4 linked regions of the Rhinolophus ferrumequinum genome follow. The protein of the gene in region 4 binds, or shares a complex with, the protein of the main gene of each other region. Links are inferred from orthologs where the notes say so. Each region holds a gene or a part of one and is shown on either strand. Other genes may lie near its edges.

The links.
Region 1: the proteins of TGFB1 (region 4) and ITGB8 are in contact, whole or in part, in a cryo-EM structure (PDB 7Y1T), measured with the Homo sapiens proteins. The link is inferred for Rhinolophus ferrumequinum from reciprocal best matches to the Homo sapiens genes TGFB1 and ITGB8. Residues at the interface, in NP_000651.3 of Homo sapiens: His117, Thr241, Arg243, Arg244, Gly245, Asp246, Leu247, Thr249, Ile250, His251, Gly252, Met253; in NP_002205.1 of Homo sapiens: Ser156, Ala157, Ser158, His160, Asn161, Asp213, Tyr214, Asn215, Leu216, Gly248, Asn249, Ile250, Asp251, Thr252, Glu254, Gln286.
Region 2: the proteins of TGFB1 (region 4) and ITGB6 are in contact, whole or in part, in a crystal structure (PDB 5FFO), measured with the Homo sapiens proteins. The link is inferred for Rhinolophus ferrumequinum from reciprocal best matches to the Homo sapiens genes TGFB1 and ITGB6. Residues at the interface, in NP_000651.3 of Homo sapiens: Pro70, Gly71, Pro72, Glu75, Leu158, Asn237, Gly245, Asp246, Leu247, Thr249, Ile250, His251, Met253, Asn254; in NP_000879.2 of Homo sapiens: Ser142, Ala143, Ser144, Asp146, Asp147, Pro196, Cys197, Ser199, Ile200, Pro201, Tyr202, Lys228, Lys231, Ile232, Ser233, Ala234, Asn235, Ile236, Asp237, Thr238, Glu240.
Region 3: the proteins of TGFB1 (region 4) and NRROS are in contact, whole or in part, in a cryo-EM structure (PDB 7Y1R), measured with the Homo sapiens proteins. The link is inferred for Rhinolophus ferrumequinum from reciprocal best matches to the Homo sapiens genes TGFB1 and NRROS. Residues at the interface, in NP_000651.3 of Homo sapiens: Leu30, Ser31, Thr32, Cys33, Thr35; in NP_940967.1 of Homo sapiens: Phe194, Glu195, Ile196, Glu197, Gly198, Gly199, Phe201, Leu210, Leu212, Pro218, Cys219, Ile220, Val221, Asp222, Phe223, Gly224, Leu225.

Annotation. Positions count from the first base shown.
Region 1 is NC_046303.1:19,498,486-19,505,546, forward strand, and holds the start of ITGB8 (integrin beta-8), read right to left. Parts: upstream 3,017-7,061; 5' UTR 2,343-3,016; coding exon 2,216-2,342; intron 1-2,215. UniProt on the Homo sapiens protein: Integrin alpha-V:beta-8 (ITGAV:ITGB8) is a receptor for fibronectin. It recognizes the sequence R-G-D in its ligands.
Region 2 is NC_046291.1:62,160,773-62,167,896, reverse strand, and holds the start of ITGB6 (integrin beta-6), read right to left. Parts: upstream 3,007-7,124; 5' UTR 2,934-3,006; coding exon 2,889-2,933; intron 2,780-2,888; coding exon 2,704-2,779; intron 1,971-2,703; coding exon 1,891-1,970; intron 1-1,890. UniProt on the Homo sapiens protein: Integrin alpha-V:beta-6 (ITGAV:ITGB6) is a receptor for fibronectin and cytotactin. It recognizes the sequence R-G-D in its ligands. Internalization of integrin alpha-V/beta-6 via clathrin-mediated endocytosis promotes carcinoma cell invasion.
Region 3 is NC_046285.1:50,893,179-50,900,946, reverse strand, and holds the start of NRROS (transforming growth factor beta activator LRRC33), read right to left. Parts: upstream 3,006-7,768; 5' UTR 2,963-3,005; intron 1-2,962. UniProt on the Homo sapiens protein: Key regulator of transforming growth factor beta-1 (TGFB1) specifically required for microglia function in the nervous system.
Region 4 is NC_046298.1:39,655,257-39,662,898, forward strand, and holds the start of TGFB1 (transforming growth factor beta-1 proprotein), read right to left. Parts: upstream 3,010-7,642; 5' UTR 2,975-3,009; coding exon 2,620-2,974; intron 1-2,619. Other genes in the region: B9D2 (B9 domain-containing protein 2), read right to left, coding at 4,755-5,068, 7,374-7,502. UniProt on the Homo sapiens protein: Transforming growth factor beta-1 proprotein: Precursor of the Latency-associated peptide (LAP) and Transforming growth factor beta-1 (TGF-beta-1) chains, which constitute the regulatory and active subunit of TGF-beta-1, respectively.

The sequences.
Region 1 (7,061 bases), on a different chromosome or scaffold from region 4:
TTTAAAAGAGATAGGAATTTTTGAAATTTGCCACTCTTATACTGTTGTATAAAAATTTAGTTAAAAATATTTTTAACCATTCAAAACTAGCAAATGTAAAAACATCAGTGCTGCTACATTAAATCTTTAAATATTAACCACTAGGTATTCTTAAGTGTTTTCCAGTTACTCATTAACCATTTTTTAGTGTTACTGCTCTAATTGTTGGTAATTTCCACCAGGGAAAGTTGAATAATGAACTCCAGTAACTTTTTTTCTAGATCAGAAAAATATTCAGATTTTTAATAATATCCTTCTTGCTCACTATGTATTTGGGACCTAAATTCTACTTTAAAAATTAAACCCAAAGTTATGTTGTTGTTTATGCAGTTTATAGTTTCTTTTGTATGGCTTTATTGCCCTCAACATTTCCTTGGTGTAAACTACTGAGCAAGGGAACAAGATTTCCTTTGTAACTGATAACCTCAATTTCTATTCTGCTTTAAGCGTCTAATTTGCACTGTGAAGACACATAATTTGAGACTTGTAGCTATATCACGAAAATACAACAGTTTATGCTGATCTCTAATTTTCTGAGTTGTGCTGGCTATAATTTAAATTTTTTGCATGTTTTAACTGCAGTGCAAACCAGTATACATCAGAAACCTCTGTATATTGACAGAGACTGGGAAAAGGATGCCTTGTTCTGATTTTAGATAAGCATTCCCTTTTCACTACTGCAGGTGCAAGGGAGCCCATTCATAATATTTGCTTTAAATCAGTTACAGTCACCGGATGGAAATACAATGATGTTACACGAGAACTTGACTAATCTTTACAAGCATAATGAATATTTTAAAATTATTACTATTATTAGTAAATTCTAGAGGCAACTAGGACTTTTTCCTTTGCCTATGTGATGGAGACAAAATATACTCTGTTGACAGTTTTGGTTATTTTACTATTATGTGTGTTTATGTGTTTACTCAATCTAGAAAAATATTTTGTCATTTATTAACACAGGATGGAATTATGCTCAGTGGAAAATCTGCTGCAAAATATGTGCACGTTCCACTTAAGAGATAATTGATAATGAATGTTACTTTTTCCTTTGCCTTAAGTTTTACCTACTTTGAGGTCAACTTATAAGTCAAAAAATAACCACAAGATAAAAATTTACTCTACTTGCTCTCATTTCACATAACTGTTAGGTAAATCTCCTTTTGAAATAAATATTAAACAACTATATATGCAACAAGTAAGTGAAGCTAGCTGGATGTTTCCATTATAAACCCTTATTTATAAGATTATGATTTGACCATTTTAATTAACTGCAGGCAGAAACTTGGCACATCAATTCAAAGCATAGGAGAAAATTTTAGTCTATAGAACAATCACAATTCTCCTTCAGCAGGAGAGGTCAGTGCAAGCAAGTCTCTAATAGAATTTAAGGGCTGGATGGCCAAACATTGGTAAAGTACATAAAATTAAAAAAAATAAAAACTATGGCAATAATCATTGCCTTGGCAAAAATAAGTGCTTGGCTTATATATAAAACCAATACGAACTCATCCTAAATTGATGGTTATTACTATTACTTACTATATGTTTTACTGTTTGCTAACAATCCAGCAGAGCTATCTTACATTTACATATGATTGAAAAGATCCAAAACAGTTTTGCACTTCAATTCATTCAGGCTGAACACTGGAATAGAAGAAACTTTTGTGCTATCATCCTTTTCTTCCAGCAACTCAAAAACAGAAGACTCACTCCCACTACACCAATTTATCGTCAGCCTTGAATCAAATGCAAGCCAGTGGTTAGACCCGCATGCTAGCAAGATGAGGAGCATCTTTAAGGGTGCCTTCAAGGAGGATGGCTTCAAAGATGGGCAGGACCCCTAACCTGGCGTCTGTAATTATGAGCGCCCACCCTTCTTCACTTCCAGTCCATTACTGCTTCCCCAACACCAGGGAGCAACACAGTATCTCCTCGTATAATTAGTTATTGCTGTCACTCCGGGACGGAACATGCTTTACACCTGGCCTCCCTAAGGCCACATACGATGGTAGACGCTGCCACACACCGCCCTCTGAAGTTCTCTCGAGGCAGATGGAGGGAGGCTGACACTGGGCCACTTACCTGGCCAGGATGCTCTTCATGACATCCCAAGACCTTTGGGAAGAGAAAGAAACAAAAGGAAAACACAAACATACAAAAACAAAAAACTTACCACTTTGGCTCAGTCCAAGAACAACTGAAAATACCCAGGCCGCCCGGAGAAATGGGGCAGGACCTGGCCGGCAGTTTTGCAGGCAGACAAATGCGGCAGTAAAAAAAGCCAGGGCCGAGCGGCACATAATGCAAAGCAGCCCGCACCGCGTCCTCCAACTGGCTGCTCTCCGGGTGCGCGCTTGTGCCTCCCGGGCGCACCTCGGGGCCCGCGGACCAAGCGTCGCTAGGACGTTTCCAGGAGGCCTGGCAGGCGGACCCCGCGGCTCGGAGCAAGCGGTGAAAGTACGCTGGCCCGGGCACCGCTCGGCATTTCAGGGCCCCTTGGCCCTCCAAGCTCGGCACAGAGGGTCCCGAAATCTCCGCGAGAAGCACCTCCTCCGACGGCCAATGGCCTGGGGCGGCGACGCGAGCGATGGCTACGCAGCCCGCTCTGGGACAAAGAAAAGAGCTTTTGTTTCTCCCCAGCCGATGGGAATTCTGCTGCATAAATCAGCTTAACGAAGAGCCAAACACAATCAAACCCAAACAAAGCCCGAAGCGAGGGGGAAAAACCAGCCTAGTGGTACATTCACTGAGTGATGCTGTATCTGTGGGAGGGGACGCCGGCGAGGCTGAAGGGGAAAAAAAAAGTCGATGGGACATCAATCAGCTCGAGCTTCTTCCACAGGTGGGCAGGGAGGCCAACTCCACTTAGTTGCTTTGCAGCCTCGTTAGCTGAACAGCGGGCAAAGTCAAAGTGGCAGCGTCCTGGTTGGCGAGGAAGGAAGCTCCGGGTGCCAGCAGCCGGGGGAGGCGGCTCCGTGAGCGCCCTAGAAGCCCCCTCTGGCGCCGACGGACACAGAGCTAGGCATCCCAGCTCCCTGCTTGGCTGGGAGTGGAGCGCACCGGGGCGAGCGCAGGAGGGGAGGTTCCGCGGGGGTGCAGGACCCCGGTCTCGCCGGGCGGGAGCTTCGTGCCCTCGTTCTATTGGCCCCGGTGTTCGACTCCGGCGTCCGACAGTCCAGAGCCCAGGCTGCTGGCGCGCTCTGGGGTGCACCCTGCGCCGATGCAAGGGAGGCCAGGCTGGTGGGGGTCGGGAGGAGTGGTCCTGCCCTGGCCCCGGGTAGTGGGGGAGGTGGGCTCTCGAAGTTCAGATAGCTGGGAGCGCTTCGGGCCCGGAGTTGCTAGGAAACCGCCCCACGCTACCGAGCGCTTTGCTCTGGCCGCTCGCGAGCGAGGGGGTGGCAACAGCCATTGCTCGGATCAGCGTGGGCGGGACATTAGTGAGGCATGAAGTCACCGCGGCCCACACTCGCTCTTTGTTTTGCTCACTCCAGCTCTTTTTCTCCCCCTTGACTCTGATAGTTGCCATTCCTGTCGTTCACAAGAACTCCTGAGGCGTAGCCCCGCAACAGGAATCGCACGCCCTGTCCGCCCCCCACCCCCGAATTCCTGCACCCCAACGCTCGCCTAGCGGGTGTAGAGAGTCGCTCAGCACGAGTGGCAGCTGCGCGCAAACCCCAGCCTTTCACCCAGGCGCTGTGCTCTCCTTTGTTCAGAGATACTCACTGCTCGGCAGCTGCCGCATACAAAGTGGAGTCCAGGGGCCTCTCCCCGCCCCCAACACCCTCTGTTCCGCGGGTGCGCACTGCCCACTCTACTTGCAGAGTTAGGAGTTCATCCTTTGCCCCACCCCGAGACCGTGCGGCGTCTCCCCGACCCTCGGAGAGTTGGGCCAGTCCACAGAGGCTGTACTCAGAGCTGCTGGACGAAATTTCTCGCTGCTTCCCCACTCGGAGCCTCAGCCCTGGACTGAACAGCCCTGTTCTTTCCAGGGTCTGGTGGTGGCTCTGGATTTTGCTAGTTAGTGTCTTTTGACCTTAAGCATCACCTTCCTGATAAACGGAACAAAGAAGTTACAATGCGCAGTGAAACAGGGAGAGAAGCTAGGAAAGGAGGTGGGAGGGCATTTCTGCCTGCATGTAGATCGGAAATTTAGGTGCAAGCAGGGAGCGGGTGTTTTGCTGGGCAACTGTCAGGGAAGCCGCACGCCTCCTTGGGTCCTGTCACTACCACGCTAGGCCGAGGGAGGGAAACCAGTCCCCCGGATTGAAAACGAGGCCGTTTCCAATCCTAGACACAGGGTGATGCTTCTTTTCTCCCCTCTAGGGGCAGGAGTGATCCCCGCTGGTAAAATCTGACCTCTCCTTATCCCACTAGCAGCCTGCCTGACCTTGTTCATAGAACAGCCTCGTCTTACGGGCATCAGACCAGTCCAGCCAGGTCAAGGTGAAATATGCGGGAGTTTCCCTCCTTACTTGTTCAATAGTTTCCATCTCCATATTTGGAATTAAAAAACAAGTAGGAGGCTCTCTCTCTCTTTTTTCTTTCTGTTTTCTAATTGTTAACTGAGTGAATGGAAAGTACCTGTTTAATAAACCACAACATTGAAAACCCCCCCTTTTCAGGTGTGGACTGCACATTGAAGCCCACAGAATTAGCTAAGCTAACCGGGAACCCAGTTGGAAAATTACAAGTGCCCTGGATCTACAAAGCAGGTGATTTTTTTTTTTCTTCTGAGACCAAATGAATGATCCGAATGTGAAAAGCTGGCACGTGAAAACACCTTGTAAATACCACTATAGGCAATGTACACTAGGTAGAATGAAATCCAGCTCAGCTTCATTATTTATTTTGTTTCCTTAGTTCCAAGTTTGAATAACTGTAGTTTTGCTTTCTGTGGTCTTAAAGGAAAGGCCTGAAAAGTGGCTGGGTGGGGATGAGGACTTGAAATTAAAGCACAAAATGAACATATTCAAGCTCTGATTAGTGACCCTTCAATAAAACAGCATGTATATTTTCCAGAGATTATTTCATCCAAAGGAATGCAGCCACCCTCGAGAAAGTGCAGTTCTACAATAAAGGAAAAAAGTCAATCCATAATACCAATAAGGATGTGTGGAAAGAAAGACTTCCACATTTTATTTTATGAAGCCCAGGCTGATATGTCAGGATGCCAGTTTTATGGAGTTATTGAGGAATAAGCACAGCAGCATTTATCACCACTTCCCAGTTGAAAAGATGTTATAATTCTGGTGATCAAAATAAAATAAGACAAAATATCCCAGCTGTGACATTGTGATCCTTGTTAAGTTATTTACAAATAAGTTATCTGTACATTTGGGGCTATAAAGATAAAAGTGAATTCTCTTGAGCCCTGTAAATCATCTGTAGGTTTTCTTACAGTAAATATAATTAGGAGCCTAGGAACAAAAAGTTTCCTTGTTTCCAATAAATGTCATTGGTCACCACAACTCATTCTCTTTCCTGTAAGAAGATGTACAGCATGTTGTGAAGAAATGAGGTATTATCTTCCTCATATTACCTGAAGAATTCTAACAGAAAAAAATGTTCCTGAAGATGGTGACTTGATTAATTCCTGTTTTTGTCATATTCTGCTGTCTTGCTTTGACATTTTTGACAGTTAATTTTTCATCATTTGTGGTAATAAGAGCAAATGAAATTTACAGATCGTCTAAAAATAACATGTTAGCTATTCATTCCAGCCTTTTATCATCAGAGTCTTTTAGTTGCTAACAAGACATAAAATTAGATATATTAAGTTTCTTTTCTATTCCTTTCACCTCAATTTCTCATTAACTTGGTTTATGGTGAGAAATGAATAAGCTATACACAGCAAGAATGAGAAAGACATCTGAGAGACTGCTCCTCTTATTGTGTATTCAGCTTTTTAACGATATTTTGTCCAAATTATTGACCTCATAATTACCGCTAAAATCATATTCACATTTTAATATTACAGATGCTCCTCAATTTGATAGAGTTATATCTCGATAAAACCATCGTACATTGAAAATCCCCTAAGTTGAAAATGCATTTCGCACAACTAACCTGCTGAACATCATACCTTAGCCTAGCGTATTTTAAACGTGCTCAGAACACTTATACTAGCCTATAGTTGTGCAAAATTGTCTAACACAATGAATACACTATAGAATACCAGTTGTTTACCCTTGTGATCACATGGCTGACCGGTAGCTGAGGATCTCTTCTGCTGGCCAGCATCACGAGAGAGTATCATACCACATTATCACTAGTCAAAGAAAAGATCAAAGTTCAGACTTGGAAGTGCGGTTTCTACTGAATTCATATTGCTTTCACACCCTCGTGAAGTAAAACTATTGTAAGTTGCGCCTTTGTAAGTCAGAACCGACTGCGTATCTTTCTGAAGTTGGTATTGGAGATATTCCATAGATTTTAAGTAGATGTTCACAGGTTGTCTATGAGCTCGCTTCATGTACAGCTCTTAAGAGATGATGAGTGGCCCAGCCAGTCGGATGTATTATGGTGACTATGACACCTAGCTTGTATCAATGACAAAGAACCTAAGCCATATGGATTAATACAGAGATTCCTCAAAGGCCTCGTGTGGGCTTATTGACAAACTCCAGTATCAAATGCAAAGTCAAAGAAAAATGAACTGCTGGAGCCCGTGTCTCTTTCCCAGGTATTCTATGGATGCTTAATTCTGTGAGATGTTAATGTTTTCAGAGAGAGGTCTTCCATAATGAAGTTTGGAAAATGCTGGGTTAAAATTAAGTTAAATCCTTTACTGGAGGATTTTCCAGACACTTAAATAGGTTTGCATGCAATTGGATTCTCCAAAGGAAGAACCCTTTATTCAGGGAACATCTCACAGACTTATTTTCCACAAAGCACACTGCTGAACTAATCCTGTTTTACAAACTTGGAAACTAAGAACCAGGTCCGTGAGGAGACTGACCCCAGTTCAAGAGAATCACTGAGCAAGCATGAATCAGAGCTCTTATTCTTCTCCACCACCT
Region 2 (7,124 bases), on a different chromosome or scaffold from region 4:
TCCAAGCTTTGGAGGTGGGGACAGGAAGGGAAAGAGAGCATGGTGTAGAAGATTGCTTTTCTATGTGAGACTCAGGAGTTTCCCAGTCCCCTTTGGATCCACCTGGGTAGCGGGAAGCAGCGACATGAATGTTTCCAGGCTGAGATGTGGCCATTCCAACCCTGCAATACCCAGAAGAGAAAGATGGAGTGGTGATATAAATACCTGTCTTACCTGATAGCTAAGGCTGCTCTAGAGCTTGTGAGGCTCTAAGCAAAGTCAAAGTCTCTCATGCTTGGAGAAAGGCAAACCAATGTTCACGTCATTTTCCTCATTTCTTAGAATTCTAAGTCACTCTTGCTGTTTTCAGCAACTAGGAAAGATATAGTCCTTCTGGAATTGATGTTTGAGAATATAATTTGTTATATATCAGTCAGGCCTGTGCATATTTGTGGCCCCAGGCTACATGTAGCAAACTCTGTAACTTCCCTTGATGTATCAGAGGCAAACAGGCTGGAGAAAGCCTCAGAATCCTTCTCAACACAGTGTCACTGCAACCACCTTTAATCACTGTCTTTGCCAAAAGATCAGCGCTGGGGTTAACCATAGAACTTATTTTCTGTCTGCGCTAAGCAGAAGTCTAATTTACTTTTTGCTGCAAATGCCTCAACTTATATAACCAATACCATTAGAGAGAACTTTTAGAATAATCTGGCCTTAAAATTTGACAACTGGCTACCGACTTTCATCCACAAGTAAAGTTATCAGTAGTAACTTAAGAAACTCTCTTAAATGAGTGCTAAAAAAATGCACTTAAATAAAAATTCCAGAAGTAAGCATTATGTTAGACTGATTTGTTGTGGTATGTCTCTAGCATGAAACTAACACTGCCTTTTTCAGCGAGTCATTGTAAAAACATAGGTTTTTTTCCCCCTCTTTTATATTCTCAAACCAACTTTTGATACATGAGCTTAAGAAAAGCAAAATTCCGTCTCACTTTAGTTTGTGCCTCATCAGTCCAGGCAGGAGTGGGGAGGGAGCTGCGTTTGTGCTCTGTGGTCAGAGAGACCACAGATACACATTTAACTTGGCAGGTGGGTTTTAACAGCTCTAGCCTGGTCCAGAGTCGGGTGTCCAGGTTGTTCCTTTTGAGCATGATATCAGCCCTTGCTGAAACTGGCATTGGTAATGTTTTGATTGGTGTTTGGATTCTCTTAGTGAGATTCAGTAGAGAACTGTTTTAAATCCAAAAAGAGCTAAGGCAGCTCTTTCTTACCAAGAATCATTTACAGATTGCTGTATATTGTCTCAGGAGGCTACATGCCCCAGTCTTCTTACACTACTTTCACATAGTTTTCATTTTGATCAGATAAAGAATGTCAGCTTCGGGCTTTGTCATTGTTACCGTACAGAGTCAGCAAGCACATGCAAATGTAATTTTTAAAAGAACTGGATAATGTTTGAACAGTAAAGTTTACCCTAAACCTACAACACTTCCCTTAGAACCTAGTAGTGATTCAGAATGCATCCTGGCTCCCAGATGGAATACACCTATGATACTGAAGTCAAATATATGTTTAGCTTTAGAAAAATATCATCTCCATGATCTCTGATGACCCAAGCCTCGGCATTTGACATGTAAGCAGTTAGAAATGGCTTTAAAATAACAGGAGGAATCAGGTTAAATAAAGGATCCCGAGTTAAATATTTTTGAATAATTTGACATTCACTCCCTCTGCAAATTGCTTTCGAAAGTAGTCACGGATGTGACTAAGGCGTACATTTTCCTTTCTAGATTTGTTTCACTCCTATAAACCCATAGAAAGCAGGACACCTTCAGAGCCACCACTGGGGGCTTTAACAGAAGTGTAACTGCGGTTTTTACAAACATGTTGAGGTCATTTGTTTTACCTCCTGAGAACACCAGGCACACTGAGGTCCAATGAGTAAGCAGTCTTCACAGGTTTCTGCACCTCCCATGGCACAGCCACCTGTGTTTAAACCCAGCAAGACACACAGAATCAGCAAACTCTCAGTCACTCCATTTTCGAGACTTATGCCTCTTAAAGTACTTGAGCAAAGCAACATCAAAGTTTATTTTAGTCTTCAGAGATCAGTCCTCAAATGTTAGCAATTCATAGAAAAGTTCGTATTTTATATCTATCACATTGAAAATACGTATGCCTTATTGCCCAGAAAGGATCATTCTTTTTTGCTTAAAATATTAGATACAAAAGTATCTTAATGTTCACAAACATGGAATCATCATATTTATTATCCTCATTCATTATCGTCTACTTTAATTTTTAAAAATTATTGGCACCCATTTAAAAATCTTCTCTTCCATGTACTGCATTTTTATTTTTAAAATAAATCCCTTTTCTCTCTCAAGGCTATTACACTTAAGTGGAAGTCCTTGTTGTACAATAAAATAGCTAGGAAAGTTACCAAAATGGTTCCCACAAAGGTATTAAGAAGTTCTATTGTGCAGTAATGCTGCATTAAAATGCCAATACAACCTTTGTATTTACTTACCTTAAGCCTAGAGCATTTGCTGTGGGAACAGCCCTGCGTCTGCTTGCGATTTGTTAAAGTGTTCGCTCAATGGCAAAAAAGCAATCAAACAGATCACATAAAAAATGACTTCAGATCTAGTTTCTGAACCAAATGACAGGTTTGTCAAGCATACCACGAAAGCAATATTTCTGAGAGCTTAGGTCTTACCTTGTACGTGATCATTCTTTCCTAGAAATAGAAAGAACAGGCAAAGCAGTTCAATCCCCATTCGTTTCAGTTCTCGCTGTGCAGACAGATTAAAAAAAAATGAATTACCTTCAGCATTACAAGACCAAAGCTGAACATCGTTAAAAGTCTCTTTCTCGAAGTGTAAAATTTTAAATACTACTTACACTGCTTTGAAAAGAAACTTGAGATGTAAATGAAAAAGTTTTCATTAAGACTGAAATGAAAACAGAGGCTACCTGGACAGGTAAAGAAGAAAAGGTGTGCTTAAAAGCAACTTCAACATGATTTACTTCCTTGTTCTCCTTATAAGGAAGCAGGTGTACAATCACCAAGAAGGTGGGGGAATTCATTCAGTAGAAATTTTTGTGTAAATTCTATTAGTCTCTCTGCATCCTAGAGAAAGTTCATACTTTTAGTAAAATATTGGTCAATGAAATGTCAAAAGAGCAATTGAAATCTGATTTCAAGTTGCTTCTAAAATCATTTGAATTTAATAAAAACAGTAAAGATGATAAATAAAACACAAATATATAACTTACATGTAAGGGGATTTTAAAAATTAGCTAAAATAAAATACCTGAGATTTTTGTATTCCATTGTTAAATCTTTTTCAGAAAATTGAAATGAACCCTGAAAAATAAAAATTACCATTTTAAAGTCAATTTAGAAGGCAGGCAAAACATTCTGCTCCCTTGTTTTTCAAATTGGATGAAAGATATTTTCCCATAAGTACAGAATTCTTATTTAAAAAGCAATATTGGAAATAAATATAATATATTAAAATCAAATTTCACCAGAATTAGTTGCAAAACAACAACAAAGAGAACAGAAACAGTGGTGCCCAAGGTTCTGAATCCCTCCTGACAGGGGCCAAGTGCCCTTTTTCATGTACTGTCCCAGCTTCCAGCTCACCACTTGGCACATAGGAGGTATTTATTTGTTGAACAAAAGAGTGACAAACTTAAAATCTATACAGTCAACGGTGAAATTCATGAGATTGATTACATATATTTTCCTAATGTATTCAGGAGGATGTTTTGGGATTTGCAGAGACTACAAAGAGGTAAGAATCAAATATTCGCTTTGTTCCTCTCCAACCTAGCTGACCTTAGATAGGCTTCTTTGTGGCTGGGCTTAAATCCTGTGAGATTATTGTTTAAAAGTGCATTTCTAAGCAAGCATTTGAAACCTGTGAAGAAAGGAAAATTAATTATAGACTGTTCAGGGTCTTCTCAGAAGGCTATGTTCAATTTTGAACTCCATCATACATAGGAACCTGGAAGAACATGGTAAGAATCCTGTAGAGAGAAACCAGGAATATTAAAGAATTAGAAATGTGCCTTTTGGGAGAAAAATACAGTACATGAAATCAGTTGACTTAGTTTGAAGAGAAAGATTGAGGCACAAAGTATCTGTGTCCCTGATATTGCCTCCATTTTTGTATCCAGTATTAGCTTTCATTCATTTGTTCATTTATTAAACCAGTCATTCAGCAAATATTTATTGAGCATCTACTTTGTGCCAAATATTGCTCTAGAAACAGAGAATATGTCAGTGAACAAATCCTAGTACTTGACAGGTGAAGCATATATTCTAAGTTGGGGAGCAGTAGTGGGGAGACAGATTCTTAAATTCAGGCAGTGATAAGAGGTATGAAAAATTATAAAGCTAGGTAAAAGGAAAGAGGGATAGATAGGGTGTGTTATTTTATTGAGGATAGTCAGAAAGGATTTCCCTGCTCAACTGACATCAGACAAAACCCTAAATGACTTGGGCAACAAAGTACAAAGGCCCTGAAACACCTTAATGCTGGGCATTTTCAAGGACAGTGGAGGGCAAGACAGGAGGGGGGCGGGTGGTAGCAAGTGAGGTCAGATTGAGAGGCAGAGGTCAGATCCTATGTATTCTTGACCTTGAATTTTATTTCAAATGTACTGGAATGTCACTGGGAAGTTGAAAGCAGGAGAATGATGTTACTTAATCTGTATTTTCAAAGAATCAGTCTAGCTTCCTCAGCAGTCAGAATGTATGGGGCAAGATTGGAAGGTGGGGGACCAATTAGGAATTTATGGTTATTGTCTAGGACAGAGGCAAGGTACCGTGTTTCCCCGAAAATAAGACCTAGCGGGACCATCAGCTCTAATGCGTCTTTCGAGCAAAAATTAATATAAGACCCGGTATTATATTATATTATATTATATTATATTATATTATATTATACCCGGTCTTATATTATATTAAAATAAGACTGGGTCTTATATTAATTTTTGCTCCAAAATACACATTAGAGCTGATGGTCCCGCTAGGTCTTATTTTCGGGGAAACACAGTAGTCAGACAGGATATAATTTAAAAACAGGATGTGCTTTGATGTAGATATGGAAGAAAGCGAGTTCCCTGGCTTGAGCATCTGAGTGTACGACACTTTCCTGAGAGAGATTACCCTGGGGAAGGATCAGGTTTCGTATGGAAGATGAGACTCAAGAACATGTTAATTCTGAAACACCTAGAAGATAACCAAGTGAAGATGTCATATAGGCAGTTTGCTACCTGAGTGTACAAATAGGGTGATGTTAAAGTAGCAGATGTAAATTTGGGATCATCAGCATGAATTTAAAGATATAAAACTGATAAAATTTAAAAATATTAGGCTGAATGAGATCCTCAAGAAAGGGGAGAGCTCTGAAGACTGAGCCTTGGGGCCAGCCCAGTATCTACAAGTCAGGAGGAGAAGGATCAAGTAAACAAAGCCTCTATTTAAAGAACACTCCTTCTTGCTAAAAAGGAACGTACCTTTGTTGGAAAACAATTCTCCAAATATTGCACTGACTGCCTTTGTTCCAGATTATCTTTTCAAGGATGTTTGTAAAGTGAACAGCCTTTGAAAATAGAGATTATGTCTTCCTCCAGACTAAGGAGCAGATTTTCTTACATATTGGGAAGATAGAGTGTTACCCTCCAGAACCAGGAGCAGGCGTGTTTACTGCCCGTTATAAAAGATTCAGCTTCCCTAAGCTCAGGGTTTCTCTCTTGTAACACAGACCACCACATGTGCAGATGTCACCTCTTCCCATTTGGGTTCCCCTGTGGGAATTGGCCTTGGGATGCTGATGGAAGAAAATGCTGGTTCTTTGGCCACTGCTATCTCTGTGAATTTTAAAGTCCTTTACCTCTGACCCTGGCATCTCATTTCTCTGTCAGCATCTATGAATTTGTGATGATCTAACTTGTTAGCTTACAAGTAAAATTTCAAGCACTTCACAGTTCTCAACAATTTCCTTCTTGAAATTCCCCTTTTTCTATAGACTGAACATTTTAAAATCTCATTTTGGAAGATAACACCTTGCATCCCACAAGAGTGCCTGAAATGCCTTGGACTAACCAGTGTTGCCCTGGATTCTAGAGCTTTCCTCAGATCCTGAGTCATCTCTCTGCCCACAGACCTCCCTGGAAGCTATCACCAGGCACTGAGGATGAGCTGGGATCAGGAATGCCCGCACAACTCTCCATCTGCCCACTCCCTAGAAACTTTTCTCTGTGGTTCTAGCCGCTATCAAAATCTCTTCTTCCTGGGAGCATAGGTAGACTACTTCTCCCTACCTGTCTTGCACTTCAGAGGACCCTAGTGACTTAGCTCTTGCCAAAGGGACATAAGTGGGAGTGGTGTGGACCACTGCCCGACCATCTCCATGCTCCTCTGCTAACTGGATGCACTCAGCAACTACAAGGTCCTGGGCAACTCCAGACGCTCAATGTGACCTGTGTTTAAATCAAGGACCCTGTACTATCCCGTGTACAGACTTCCATCCAGTCCCTAAAATCATAATTGCACTGCTTTTTTGCTCTCAATTCCCAGTTGCAGCCACTCCTTCACTTCCAAGCCTTTGTGTCTGGCTTTTGTGCTGCCTGGAGGCCCTTGGCTCCTTCTCATCCTTCTCACTTGTCTAACTCAACTCACCATCAGGTCTCAGTGTAGACATTACTGGAGCTTCCCACGGGAAGACGACTTTGTTCTCTCCAGGTCTCTCTTCTGTGCAACTTTCCCCAAGATAGTCCTTTTTACTCTGCTTCTAATTGCCTAAATCCTTGCCTCTCTCCTTCACTAGGCTGTGAGGTCTTTCAAGACAATTATTTATTCAACAAGCATTTATTGAATTCTTAGTAGGTATCAGGCAGGGATGGCCTTAGTTATCTTTATGTTCCCAGCAAGCAGCATAATGCTTGCTATTTTGTAAGTATTCAATTAACACTTATCAAGTAAATGGATGAATTTTATGTCTTCATTGTCTAGCATTGTACTTGTTACAAAACAAGTACTCTATAAATATTAAGTAAATAGATGAGTAAATGAATAAATGGTTTTAGAAGGTACATAATGCAATTAAGAGAGGGGAAAGGTTC
Region 3 (7,768 bases), on a different chromosome or scaffold from region 4:
CTTGGAGGGGCAGCAGAAAGGTGCTTGGGGCACATGGCATAGCACCTGACCAAGGTGAACTTCTGGGTTGGGGCTGGACGTGGGGAGTCCCTGTGTCCTCACAGGACTTTGTAGCCACATTTAGCCCATCACTGGTACCAGCACTGCTCTTCTAGCCCACCTCTCTGGTGAGAATCACGACAGGGTTCTACTTCCTCCTTTCGTCCCTTTGTTCAGTCTGAAACCACTCATGTATTAAAGTGAGAAGACACATGTGGTTTTGTCTCAGCACCTGACTCCATTTGCTCTGGAAATCAGTTGGTTTTGCCTACCCACATTCATTTCTCCTTCTGGTAACAACTCCTTAACTCTCCTTTGAGGAAATTACACTTTCCTTTCTTTTCTTTATTATTTTAATTTTTAATTGTGGTAAAATAGACGGAACATAAAATTTACCATCTTAACCATTTTTAAGTGTATAATTCCGTAGTGTTAAGTATATTGACATTATCTTGCAATCAACTATCTTACTTTATTAAGAACTCCATGTTTGTTTGAGTCTGACCTTAACTCTTGGCTCCAAGGAGGGGCCTATAAACAAGGCTGGACCCATCAGAGTCTCCTATTCCCCTAACCACCGTGATTGGTTTATAATGGGTTCCCAGAAGCCAAACCCATGAGAATCAATCCAAGGATTTTACTGGGAAAGAGGCTTTCTTTTTATGCTTCAAATGCCAAACTGATGGTAATTAAGGTTTGAGCTTCAGACACCCATCTTTGCCACCAACTTTAGGTCCTGCCTGATAATGAAGCCTACACAGAGGAAAGCCATGCTGAGGAATGGAGACAGACGGATTCCTGGCAATGTTTGAGCATCTGGATGTGTGCAGCTGTTCCCCCCATAGACTTTTTGATTATTTGAAACAACAAATCCTCTTTTTTTGCTGAAGCCAAACTGATGGGATTTTTGTCATTTGCAACTAAAAGACCCTTAAACTCAGATTTAGTTGCTTGTGAGGCTCGATAAGATCCAAGTATCAATGTCCCTTTTTCCTCCCCTTGACTCTCTCTGCTGTCAGACATCATCACTTAATGTAGCCCAGAGCTCCCCACACATTGAGCCATGACAATTTGTTCAATGATGAAGTTGAGGAGCATAGTTGGGGGAGGAGGGTGAGTGGAAATTAGTATACTAAAAAAGTTCTACCAAAGGCAAAAATATTTATCATTAATGTGCAGACACACCAGTGAGCATTACTGAGCATAGAACAAGCATATCCTGAGAAAGATAATGTTTTTCAGTCGTGGTTGAGAGCCTACCCTCCCCTAACTTTACGTGGTTATATAATGTAGATCTGAGCGTGGTGTGGGGCACACCTAGTTGTCCTTCTGAGAGTCTGGTTTACATTTTGTGGTGTGAATACACACTGCAGCCCAAACACGGGTTATAATCAGTACTGATGTCAGTCTTCCACGACAAAGAAAGACCAGAGTCAAATAGGCAATGCATTCCTAACACAGGACCCAGGACAAAGACACGGGGAGCCTACTCTCTGTTTGGGAGGCATGGGTTTAAACACCATGTGGACTCAGGTTTATATGGGTTTTCAGGAAGTCCCATGAGAAACATGTTAGATGAAAACACCCTCTTTGTGAAATAGGCTTTTTGTTTTGTTTTGTTTTGTTTTGGTTTGGTTTGGTTTGGTTTGGTTTGGTTTGGTTTAACCTAAAGGCAGGAGTCAAGCTTTTTGTATTTTGTTTTCCTGGGCCCAAGGTTCTATAATCCTGTCTAGGAACTCTCAGACATACATGTAAAAACCTATGGGGTGTATAAGACAAATAAATAAGTCTCAGGGCCAAAAACCCCAGCAAACCAGGGGCATCCGCAGATGCTGTGCAGCACAGCCAGTGGGTAAAGGGAGTGCAGATTTCGGAAGGGCAGCTCTAAAACTCAAAATGTTTTTACGGTCCAAACTTCTAATGGGCTGCACCCATCACGGAAGAAAAATCCAGTGGGTTCCCTTCACTTCCCCTGGAAGTGCAGCACCCGAGACCAGCCCTATCCTGGGGCTTAATTCTTAGGACCCTGCCTCCACCTCCTTGAGTCCCAGCCACTGTGGGGCACATGGTCACCTTCTCTCAGGGATGAGGTGAGCTGGCAGCCCATTCTGAGGGCAGTACAGAGCCGGGTCGGTGGCTCCTTACTTATTTATGTCAGCTCCTGAGCGCATGAGGATATATGCTGAACCTTCCAGAATCCAGCCCACATGGAGAGGCCGCGAGGGCTATGGAGGAGCCTGGACAAGGGATAAGAAAAGTCTGGGACCTAGTATCCCTCTGACACTTACTAGCTGTGGGTCCAAGTAACGAACCCTAGTGAATTTCCCAAGGACACTCTGTGGGTAAGGGGCTTTGCCTGTCTATGTCACAGCTCTGCCCCCAACATCTTAAACAGGCCTGCACTTGGAAGACATCCACAAGTATGTGTTGCTGTCAATGAGTATCAGTGTCTTCATCTATGACACGTTGACTCTCAGTCCACATTGTGGAGCAGAAAATAAGATCCAAGCACTCAGCACGCTGAGCACTCACAGAGTAGTCTCATTGCATCCAGTCACCCAGCCCGGGAAGAAGCACCATTGTTCCCACTTTGCAGATAAATAAACCGAGACCCAGATATTCTCCCCACAGAGCCAGAGATCAAACTTTCAAACCAGGAGTCTGAAGCCCTAATTGTTTCTACTACTCTACACCACCTTGACCTCATTCAGCTCTTGAGTGCTCACAGAGGGATGTAGTTCCACTAGCGAGAGCTGTAGCCGCCAAACTGGGCACAAGAGCGGTGGAGCTTGGATGCAGCAAGCCACAACTTCCCAGTCAGCCGCAAGCTGTGGGCCAGGGACGCTGATCTACCACCCACCCTGGCCCGAGCTCGCCCACCTCCAGAAGGGCAGCGGTTGCCCACCACGCAGGAAATACTCACGGCTCCCGCAGGCCCAGGCGGCTCCGCCGGGCGCATCCTCTCCCGGGACTCCGGCCTCCTCGAGAGCAGCCGAACGCGGGGCTGGGCTGCCTCCTCTCTCTGGGGCATCAGATTATTTTAGCACTTGCGGAAGGAACAGACGGAAACTGAAGTCACATGGAGAGCGAGCAGCTCGGGGCGACTCAGCACTCACAGAAAGCAGGCAACGGAGAAGGAACTGCTGCCACGGGTGGGTGGTGAGGGGGGAGGGAGAGGGCAGCCGGCGGGAGAGTGGCCCCCGGACTACCTGCTGGGTTAGTCACGAAGGAGGGCGCATATTTTATGGTCTCCCAGCAATGCTAAACAAGGTTCCACCTGCTTTCTCACCTTAGGGATTTTGAGGGGTGGTGAGCTGGGGGCCCCTGCCTGTGAGCTGTGCTGACCCAGAAAACTCTTCTCCAAGGTTATGTCTAAGGGTCAAGCTGGGGCAGACTTTGGGAACGGGTAGGACACATGTTTTTCACTTGGGAAAGAGTCCACCTTCTGGAAGAGCCATCCACTCAGCTAGTCTTTATTAATAATCTCCTTTTATGTGTCAAGCACATCAACAGAAGAAAAAGAAATGGACATTGCTTTGGGGTAGACTTCCAAAGTGCCATGAACTTCTTGATCATAGACTGCTTGGATGATTTTTATTTTTTTTGTACCTGATGTGTAAAAATTTCCCTGCTTAGTGCTTGCCAAGATTTCAAAAGTATAATCGAATTAATAATAGCCACCATCATAGGCATGCCAGGCACTGTGCTAAGAGCTTTATATGCATCATCTCATAGCTCCTGTTCTCAAGGAGTTTACCATCTAGTGGAGAAGGCAAAATATTGACAGAGTCAACGCATGGCGAATGAGTAATGTGAACAACTGTACCGGAGGAGCCAAAGGAGGAATCTCCAGTTCCGCTCTTCCCTATGAGATCTGGAGAGCTGAGGTGTCCTGGAGGGTCGGTTCGCATCTGCTGTAGACTACTGATTTGTGATTCTGCATAACATTCTTATCCTTGGCATGTCCATCTTAAGAGAACAGAAGCAAGTTCTTCCTGCTCCAAACATCCAGCAAATTGTCTACTCCATATCCTCCTTATCTCAAGCAATCCCTCTTTTATATGTTTGACACATTGAGTTTCTCCATAGAATTTCTTTTACGAGAGACAGCTCTTACCACTTTAAAAAACTTAGAAAACCAGTGGTCTTGATGGATGTGTGAGGACGAGCCACTTTGCTGTCATATAGCACCAATAGCCAGCAGCAAGCTGTCTTAGCAGGGAGGACCTAAGACTTTCCAACCAAAACCAATGTTGACTTGCAACTGAAAACAGGACATTTTTCATGCCAGCAAGGCTGTAACCCTGACCGCACAGTTCAGGATTCTCCACCTTGGCTGGGTGCACTGGTCCCCCTCCCAACCACACTGCACACGGCTGAGGAGAGGAGGCACTTCCTCTGGAAACACAACCCATGGTTCATCTCAGCCATGCACGTCCCTTTGTGGGATGGTGACAGTCTGGGGGACCGTGTGCCTCTTTCTTTGAGCCTGCTCCATGTGTTGTGACGTTTATAGCCACCCCCTGCTCAACCGTAACAAAGCCAAGTTTAGTGTCAAGGTTAAAGGAAGTAGCTGGGCAATTCCCAGCTAGAGGAAAAAGTCCGGATGCCTTATTCAGCCTGATCTTGCCTCCAGCCTTCCATCAGTGTTACGTCCTGTACTTAAACACATGGTCCACGAGTGGGTGTCATCCAGTCTTATCTGCTCACAATTTCCTTAAACACAGTACAAATGTTCCCCACTTTGTACTCCCTCTGTCAGACGTTTCCCTTGCGTTGACCAGTGTCTTCTCTGCCTACCACAACCCTCTGCATCCTCTCCTTCTGAACATGTGGTACCAAATGTTTACAATATCCACTGGCATCATGACATCTCCTGTATTGTGCTTTAACTTTTAGGATTTTTGTCTTATTTCCCCAGTTACACTGTAAGTATCTTAAGGGAAGGGGTCACGTGCTATTCCAAAAAGTATACTGCCCAATGCACATAAAGGGGTTCAGTAAATATTGGGTCAAAGAGGGAAGGAGGTAAGAGAAGGAAAGAAGAAAGGAGGGCAATAAACCTACACTGTCTACGACTCTCTAAATATTGTCATCTGAGATTTTTTGTTTGTTGGTTGGTTTGTTTTTTCCTGCCTAAACTAAGCTTTGTCTCCAGTAGGACATCTCAGTCTCCCGAAAGGAACTATGGCTTCTGTCTCCCCACCCACTGCTTTTTCAGATGAAAACCAGACACTATTCAGGGCCGGGGAGTAGGGAGACCTACTGGACAGAGATTGTGAAGGGAGACACATCTGAGTTGGGGGACAAAGTATGCAAAGGATCCGGTGGGAGAAATGAGGGTCAGCTTCCTTCCTACAGATGGGTCTGTGAGAAGAGCACAGTCCATTGTGCCCAGCGATGGAGTGGCAGGGTCTACCTGTGGAACTGGGAGTTCATTCCAGGTCCAAGATCTTGGTCCTCTCACGCTCACCTGTGGTGTTTTCCATTCTGCTTGGGTTCGCCGCCCCTGCCCATGGACAGGGCAGCACTTCCATCCCAGCCCTTCACCTTGGTAACTGGGCCTCGCCAAGCAGTGAACTAGTGCCTCCCCCGCTTCTCTGGCCTCAGCACATGACAGGGAGGGGATTTCCTTTCGGGCGTTAACTGGGAATTGTTCTCTTACCCCACGTCAGCTGGCTGCTGGGGGAGAATCTTTAGTAGTTTCATTTCCCTCATTTGGAATGTAGTTTTTAAGAACCAAAATTAAAAAAACGGAAAGAGGAGAGGCCACCACCCCCATCGGAACCCCTCATGATGCCAGTCCTGGAAGAGCTGAGGGTTCAAGGCAGAGACTGAGGGCACATGAGGGTGGCTTGGCTGAAGGACCTTCCTGGCACATTTTACTCCTCTTCTCTAACCATCTGGAGGAGGACAGGGGATCTCAAATCCTAAGGGCAGCTCCTCTTGCTCCCTGTTCACAAAGCTCTCCCACGCTGAGCCCACGGCCTCTCTGAGCCACTAATTCCAGTCACTAACCTCTGTGAGGACATTGCCTCTTCCTTTCCTGGAAACACTGACCATAAGCAACATATGATCAACGACTTCGTGTTGTGCAGTAACACAATGCTTAAGAAGTACCCTGTCAGTGCCAGGGCGTGGCTGGCAGTGGGACATCCAGGGGAAGGGGCACATACAACTAACCACGGTCCAGTTCAGAGAAAAATGGAAGGGAATGATGGAAAATCAGGAATAAGGTGCTGGGAGAGTGATGGGGGAAGAGAACACAAGTGGTGGGAGATTTCAGGGAAAGCTTTCTGGAAGAGGTGGCATCTGAACTGGATCTTCACGAGATGGAACTAGGTGTGGGGTGCAAGACTGAAGAGATAAGGAAGACAATGAATTGACATAAGGCCACATCAAGGAGGAGAAATTGTAAGAGATGATGGCATCTCTCTATGTCCCACTAGGACTTTGTTCATGGTTCTATCCCGTGTTGCCCAAGGGGCATCATCGTTCATTGGAACAGTTCTGCTTTTCCTCTGGGGCAGTGAGTCCTGGCAGGCAGCGACTATGGTTTGTTCACATTTGTATGCATCCCCAGCAGGCTAGCACTTAGTGCCCAGCAGTTTTTCTTAAATGAATTGAGGTTAAGGTGTCAGTTGCTCTAGAGCAGTTGAAGAGGTTAAAAACTTGGGAAAAGTCACTTACTGGTCATTGAGAAAAGCTTTTTCGTAACTGACAAATATAAACCTGAGTCCTTACCATGGGCTCAAGGCCCTGCATGATCTGGTCCTCTCTCTGCTCCCTCTGATTTCACTCCCTACCACTTTCTTCCTCACCTCCTCCACTCAAAGCATAAAGTCCTCATTTAAGCGGCACCTCCTCTGTTAAGCCAAGCAGGCTTCTGTCTCAGGGCTTTTGCCATTTGTTCTTTCGTAGGCCCAGAATGCTCTCCCCATCAGTCTCCAGGTATCTAAACAGCTCACTCCCTAACTTCCTTTAGGCCTCTGCTCAAATGTCACCTCCTCAAAGAGGCCTTCCCTGACCACACCATCTAAAATAGCACATACACACACCCATTACTTTCTTTTCCCTTACTTTCCCTTTTTTTCACAATTTTTTTATTCATGTCACTGCTCAATATCTTATTATATAGTACTTATTTGCTAATTGTCTGCCTCCCCAATTAAATTGTGTGCTCCTAAGGGAAAGAAATTTGTTTATTCACTACTCTATCCCAGTGACTAGAACAGAACCTGACACATCCTAGGTGCTTATAAGTTTATGTGGACTATATGAATGAGTGAAAGAATGATGGCAAAAAAGAGCAGTTTCAGTAAAGTATAGGATCAAGAGTCAGATTGCCAGGTGTTGGTTAATCAGTGACGGGGTACAGAAATAAACACGGGGGAGACAATTGCTCTTTCGAGGAACAAGGTCATGAAGCAAAGGATTGATATGTGAATATCATTTGTAAAATGTGAAGTACCATATAAATATGTCTATTTTCCTTGGCAGAACAGGTCAGGGAGAGAAGAGTAGAGATGGGATCAAGTCCATAAGTGGGGTTAGCCTTGGCAAAACTGCAAAACCTCTGTGTGTGGTAGAAGTCAGGGCAATGTGATAGGGAGAGGGAAAGACAGGCCTGAAAGGACTGTTGGGCATCTTTGTTTACAAGGACCCATTTGTAAAACAGCAGGCAATGTCTGGGGGACTCTGCACTATTATATAGGACGATGGGCAGCCC
Region 4 (7,642 bases):
ATCAAGCTCCCTGCCTTCCAACCCAGGCTCTCCTCGTTGAAGCGCTATGTAACTTTGGGCAAATGAATTCCTCTCTCTGTGCCAGATTCTCACCTGTAAAACAAGGAACGACTGACTGCAGGGTGAGAGTGTGAAAGAAAGTGACACGAATAAGATGAAGCGTGTAGCACAGAGTCTGCACACAGTGGTCACTCTAATGTGCGTGTTAAAGCACACTCACTACTTGCCAGGCGATATTCAAAGCACTTCGCATTTAAACTTCACAACAACCCCAGGAGGAACATATTATTTATTATACCTGTTTTATAGAGGGGGAAACCTAGGCACAGGAGATTAAGAAATTTGCCCCAAGGTCACATAGCTAGGAAGCTGCAGAAAGGGATTCAAACTCAGGAAGTCTAGTTCCAGACTTCAACCGCTCTCAACTACTAGGGTATGCAGCCTCCCTGTTAATATGACATTTATTATTATTATTATTATTATTATTATTATTAATTATTTCCTCCCTTAGCTGGTTAGAGAAGGCAAAGTTCATTTTAGGTAGGAATGGCTTAGTGGGGTTAGAAAATTAGGAAGAGTGTTTACTAGTTCAGAAAAGTTTGGGGGTGGGGTTGAGAGGGCAGGCCATGAACTCCCGGATCAACTGGGGCACCTATTTTAGGCCTCTGTAGTGTGGGTGCGAAAATGGGAGACAGGATCTGATGAGAAAGGTAAAAGGTAACCCCTTCTATGGGCCCCCTTTCCGTACTCTTCCCCCCTCTAGCCAGACCAGCCCCTCCCCACAATAAGCCCTATCTTGGCCCAGCGGTTACTCAGCAACCCCCAGAGGAAGGATAGAGCCTGGTGGGGAGACAGATAGGGAGGAAGAGTAACAAGATGGGTAGGGAAAGGCAGACAGGGAGAGGGAGAGAACGCGAGACAGGGAAAGGTGGGGAGGTGTGGAGGAGGAAGAGAAAGAGAGGGAAGAGGTGCAGAACCAGAAACTGGGAGACCCACAAACGGACAGAGAGACTAATGAAAATGCGGGAGAGATGGAAAAACAGAGATAGGAGACAGAGAGACACACGGGGAGAGAGACAGAGGGTTTGGGGAGGAGATGGAGACGGTCTGTGAGGAGAGGATTGAAAGTATCAGTGTTAATCTCTACAATGTAGAGAAATCTCTAGAATGATGGTGAAGCAACCATGGAAAAAAGGTGAGATGAAGACAGGGGTGGAGATGGGCGTCATTTGACTGGAGCCACAGTTGGGCGCACAAAAGGGCTGGAGACCCACAAGTCCACTGCCCAACAGGGAAAGTTAAAGGAGGGAGACCCCGAGCCTCTGGGCCACTTGGGACGCCGGGGTACCCGAGTGGGCGCCGACGGGGCTGGCCCAGCGGTAGCCCCGCCCGGAGCTGGGGTGAAGAGGGCCGGAGGCGCTGGCGCTGCGAGGGCGGGGACCGGACCTGCCCCGTCTCGCCCCAGGCCCCTCGCGCGATCCCCGCCCCCCAGGGCACGGGAAGGAAAGGGAAGGGAGGGCGGGAGAGGCCGCCGGAGGCTGGGGTTTCCCCAACCTCCCGGAGAGGAACTGGCACTTTGGGGTCCAGATTCTCAGCCTTTAGAGCTGCGGGGTTCTCTTCCTCCCCACTTCCGGACGCGCAGCTCCTCCCCACTCCCCCGCGCGTGGCACCCACGTGGGGCTTCCTCACCCCAATCTTGCAGAGTCGCACCCACCACCTCTCCCCCTGCGGCTGGACTCCTCGCTCAGCCCACTGCCTTCCATCCGCGGTGTGGAGGGTTCGCCGCTCCCAGTAGGCCACCGTTTATCTCTCCTCCGCCCCTCTCCCGGTCCACCTTTCCCACGCGTCTCTCCTCTCTGTAAACCCCTTCCCACGACCCAGTATTCTAGGTTTCCTAGGGGCTCGCTTCCTCAGCTGGGCTTCCTCCTCGCACGTCCACCTGTGAAGTACTCAGGGCACCTCCCCGGGCATCCCCCGTACCCCAGAGGTCTCCGCTTCTTTCCCGCTAGCTTCCCTCTTCCTACGAACTCGCGCCCACTTCTTCCCCGCATTTCTCACCCCCAACCGTCTCTCTGCTCCACCCCCCAATCCCGCGTATTCCTGGCGCCTGCTGTAAACTGGTCCACTTTTCCTGGCACCTCCGGGCTTCGCTTTACCTAGCTTTTCTGTCCTTCTTTAATCTTCTCGCCTCACGATCCCTGAGCTCTGCGTCAGCTTTCCCTACTGCTTCTCCTTGCTCAGAAATGGGGTCTTCGCTTCTCCCAAAGCGGGCACCCTGTCTTCAGCCCCTATCCCACGACCCCCACACTCTAGTGCACCCAGTAGCCGAAAGTCTTTTCTACCCCTCCCCCATTGCTTCTCTCCCTCTAGGGGACTCCCGCGCCTCGATCCTGCATGTTCCGGTCGCTCTCTAGAAGCTGTCCACTTGGTTCACTATCTCCTCTTCAAGACCAGACACCTGGGGGTGGAGGGAGCTCTTTGAGACTCCGTCCCACGTTCCCAGCGCCCCCAGGAGTCCTCTCTCTCCAGTTTCCTCCGCTAGTTATTTCCTCCCCGACCCCAGCACGCCGGCGCCCGCTGGGGGCTCCCCTCCAGGATCCCCTGCCCCTCCGAGCTCACTGTGGCTGTTTTCCACCGTTAGCACGCGGGTGACCTCCTTGGCATAGTAGTCCGCCTCCGGCTCCGGCTCCGGCTCGGCGCTCTCTCCGGCCACCCGGTCGCGGGTACTGTTGTAAAGGGCCAGCACGGCCTCGGGCAGCGGGCCGGGCGGCACATCCCCCTGGCTCGGGGGGCTGGCGAGCCGCAGCTTGGACAGGATCTGGCCGCGGATGGCCTCGATGCGCTTCTTCTTCACCAGCTCCATGTCGATGGTCTTGCAGGTGGATAGTCCGGCGGCCGGCCGGCCCGGGGTTAGTACTAGTAGCCACAGCAGCGGCAGCAACAGCGGCAGCAGCCGCAGCCCGGAGGGCGGCATGGGGGAGGCGGCGCCCCCGGCACTGCCGAGAGCGCAAGCGGGGCTGGGATGCGAAGAGGGAGGCCCCACCCCTACAGGGGCTGGGGGGGAGGTCTCCCGTGGAAAGGTAGGAGGGCCTGCGGGGAGGGGGAAGTTGAGGCCCTCGCGGAGGACGGAAGGGAAGCTCTAGCGGGTGGCTTCTCGGTATCCCACGGAAAAACCCGAGATGGGCGCGATCTGGTACCAGAGGTGGGTGGTCTCGAATAGGGAAGCTGAGGCAGGTCTGAGAGAGATCCCGTCTCCCAGACTCCGGAGAAGTGTCCTTGGATGCGCGGGAGCTCAGGAGAGGGGCGTGCGCCCGAGGTCTTGGGGTCAAGTCTTCGCGGGAGTCGGGTTTGTGGTTCCTGAGGGCTGGTCCGGAATGGGGGCGCCTGAGGGACGACGTGTAGGCACGGAGGAAGCAAGCTTCCGAGGCGGTGGGGGAGCAGTCTGCGGTTCCCAAGTGCTGCCTCCTCGCCCGGCAGCGCCTCGCCAAGCGGTCCCCGCGCCTCCGGCTCCCAACGGCAGCGGAAAAGTCTCAAAACTTTTTTCCCTCTTCTCCCTACCAGCTCGTCCCTCCTCCCGCTCCTCCTCCCCCTCCTCCCCGCAGTGGCGGCGGCGGGGGCGGCAGCGGCTCGTCTCAGACTCTGGGGCCTCGGGCTGCTCCTCGGCGGCTCCTTCCTCCGCTCCCGGCTGAGGCCGACCCGGCGGATGGCTCCGAGCCGGGGGGGTGCCCCGGAGGGGGCGTCCCCCCTGCCCCCGGCCGGGGGCCTAGCTGTCTGGCGGATCTGCGGCGGGAGGAGGGGGGTGGGACGGCCCGGGGCGCGAAGGGCGGCGGCGGTGGCGGGGACCGGCTGGGGCGGCGGGGGGTTTTGAAGCCGCCCCGGCCCCACCCAGGAAGCGCGCGGGGCGGGGGTGGCCCCCAGGGGTGAGGGCATGCGGGGGCCGGGCCACCGTTCTCAGCTCGCGTGGGCGGGCTCTGAGGGGGGTCCCTTAAGCCCCGGGGGAGGGGGCGGGCACCCCGGCCCCGCCCCACGAACAGGGTGCTGCCTCCTGGCGGCCGAGCGCTACCAAAGCGGGCGACCCGGATGCGTGTGGCTTTGAAGACTGTGTGTGTGTGTGTGTGGGGACGGGGCGGGGGAGGCGGCTGGTCACCGAGAGAATGAAGACCTGGGGAGGAGGGCTCAATCAGTGGATGGGGACACAGTTGACAGGGAATCAGAGGAGGGGACGCAGAATAGAGTTGGAAGCTGGAGAGAAGGTCAGCCAGATGGGGGAACCTAGTGGGGAGAAGGGCACAGAGGAAGGGGAGCCCCAAGGAGAGGGGTCATAAGAGGGGCACCCAGAATGGGGAGATCAGAGTTTGAGAAGGATGGGGGATGCAGGTCTGTCAAAAGGTGGGGGCCTGAGGAAGGAGGGTGTCAGTGGGAGGACAGGGCACAGGCCATCTGACAGGTCAGGAAGACACCCACACCTGTCAGAACTGCTTTCCTTTATTGAACATTTCCATGTGCAAGGCAGCCTCTTCTCTTCCAAACCCCTGGGACCCCACACATTGCTGTCTCCATTTCACAGATAGGGAAACTAGGCCCCAGAGGGACAGCTACTGGGCTTCAGAGGTGCTAGCCAAGACAGAAGTCGCAGTGTGCCTTGGCTCCGGGCAGGTCTGACAGTTTCCAGAGCCCAGACTTCTGACTATTGTGCCATCCTGCCCTTACTGGGTGTCCAGGAGTGGGGATGGGGGCCCGTGAGGCAGCGTCCCTCAGCATTCAACGCCATAGCGGTCAAAGTGGCGCAGGAGTAGACCCAGCTCAAGGTGCACGGTGCCACCGGCGGCTGTGTGCAGGCGATAGCGGTCAGCCCCACTGTAGATGGTGTCCCCATGCAGCAGCTGAGGGCCACCACCCACGAAGGCCCGTGCCAGCTGCTCCCGCCAGCTGCCCAAGGGCCGCCACGTGGGGCAGTCCAGCTTGTGGGTGCCGGGACTGCTGGGTACATGGCAAAAGCCATAGCCTGCAAGCTGGCAGCGGCCAAAGCTGTCCTGGGACCAAACCTGGAGATGGAGCCGGGGCCAGCCTGCAGGAAAGGAGGGAGGGAAGAAGGGATGGGACAGCCGGGTCTCCAGCTTGTGGATCCCCACTTCCTTGATCTCCACTGGAGACCTCAGGTAGTCCGTTCCCCCTGGGTTTCTTCCCCAGCCTCTTCTTTGGACTCCCACCTCAACATGGCAGCCAAAGGGATGTTTCTGAATCCATGTTCCTCCACTGCTTAAAACCCTTCCATGGCTCCCCAGTGCCCTTGGTATAAAGTCCACCTCAACATTCAAGGCTCTTTGGATCTAGCCTCTGCTGACTTCCCTCTCTGGTTTCCATCTCAGTGTGGCCCAGTCGCCAGATGAGTAAGTACCGTGGGCCTTGTCCTGGACACCTCCCTTCTTCCCACACCCTGGCCCACCCTGTCCTCTCTGGGCTCAGAGGCTTCTTTCTTGCGCCCTCCAATCCACCTTCCACCTGGCATCTGGAAGCATCTATCTCCCCCTCCATAAGTTTCCCACTGTCCTCAGACTACAGTTCAGCTCCTCAGCTTGGTAGACAAAGCCCTTGGAGATCCAGTCCCATTTCACCCTCCTTTCTAAGCCCCTCTGTGCTAGGCCCTGTTCCAGAAGCTGGGGACACATTGGTGAACAGAACAGACAAAAATTCTTGCCCTTATGTAGCTGACATCCTAGACAACGAACATAGTAAATAAGCAAATTATAGGGTATGTCAGATGGTGATAACTGCTCTGGAGAAAAATAAAGGTGGGTAGGGTGGGGGTGGGGATGCAGTTTTAGAAAGGTGGGGATCAAGAAAAGCTTCACTGAGGTAACATTTGAGCAAATGCTTAAAGGAGAGAAGGAGTGGGCCATGTGGACATCTAGGGAAGAGTGCTCCCAGCAGGGGGAACAGCTGGTACAAAAGGCCTGAGATGGGAGCTGCCTGGGGAAGCCAGTGTGGCAGGAGCCCATTGAGAGAGGGAGCAGGGAGGAGGTGACAGCACTAGATCATGCCGGGCCTTGGGATCCATGGTAAGGCTTTGGCTTTTATCCTGAGAGATATGGGACGTAGAGGGTTCTTAGCACAGGAGGAACGTGACTTAGGTTTTTCCCTGAGTTTAGGGTGGGAACACCAGTGAAGAGGCTACTGTAATGGCCCAGGTGAGAGGTTAGGGTGGACAGACCAGGTGCCAGGGGAGAGGGTGAGGTTTAGTATGCATTCCAAAGGTAGAGCCAGTGGGATTTCCTGATGGACAGAATGGGGCGGGGGGAGGGGGGCGTTCAGGAAAAGAGGAGGCCAGGATGATATACCCACACAGGGGGTCTGGGGGTCTCAAGAGTGAAAGGACAGTCGCCTGCCTCGCCCTCTAATCCATCACCCTTTAAAAGCAAAATCTGACTTCTTAGTCGCCTGCTGTGTCTTCAGGAGATGGCCTCAGCTCTGCAGCCTGACATTCAAGGCCCTGCCACCTGACCCCCTGCAGTCCTCCTGCTTTATCTCCGTCCTCCAAATGCCCTGGCTCACTTTACCCTTTGTGCCTTCTGCACACAGCTCTCTGCCTAGAAACCTCTTCCTTCCCTCTGCCTTATTAGCCTACTGGACCTTCACAGCAAAGCTCAAACATCCCCTCCTCCAGGAAGCTTTCCCTGAACTCCCTGGCAGTCAGGAGCCTCCTCTTGGCTCCCACAGCTCTCTATAATCGCCCATCCCAGCCCTGTCCACTCTGGGCTGCCACTTTCTGGGGACAGCTCTGTCTCCCCCATGGGATGGTGAACCCTGTGAGGACAGGGCTGGGGGCTGTCTCAATCACTGACATCTCCCTGACATCACCCACCACAGGACAGGCACTCAGTAAATATTGTTTATATTGCTGAAATATACGGCATATTTACCTAGGCTATTTCCTGGAATCCACTGCTCTCTAATGACCCAAATTTTCCATCAGAAAAGATTTTCTGATACCATTCCTCCCCCGCATACTCATTTCCACTCTGAACAGCTGAGGAGCTCTGCCTGAGAACAGCCACCAGCCCTGCCTCTCTCTTATAAGCCCTCCCAGCTTCCTCCTGAATGAAAACTCTCTTCGTTTGTCTCTTTCAAAGCCACCTCCTCTCTCCCCCTGGTCTCCACCTTCCCCTTTCTCTCTCCACCCCTGGCCTCTGACACACTCTGGAGCCAGCCCAGGGAAGTAGCAGATCAGCCTCTCCAGGACCAGACCTGGCCGGGAAAGGGACCCACAGGGCATGGGAGCAGGGACAGGACTTGGTGTTCCCAGTCCCAGCAGCATGGCGTGCTGCTAACCCCCCTCCCTTCAGTCAGGTCCAGAGCCCAGGCCAGGAACCCACCTTGGAGACCTTTGGTGGCGAAGTGCAGGTCGATGGGGTGGGACCAGTAGGCCATGTCCCCTATTTGGGGGGTGTCCACCTGCGTTTGGCCCTCCCGTATGCCTGACAGGAGCTTCCATGCTGCCCCTGCAATGAGAGCCAGAACACCAACGGGACAGGGAGAGGTCGGAGGCAGCCATCAGGAAGGGGATGCTCTTGTGGCTGTAGGACCACGTTTCTCCCTGGCACTGGGGGGCAGGGGTTACAAAATGGGGACTCTGGAGCCAAAT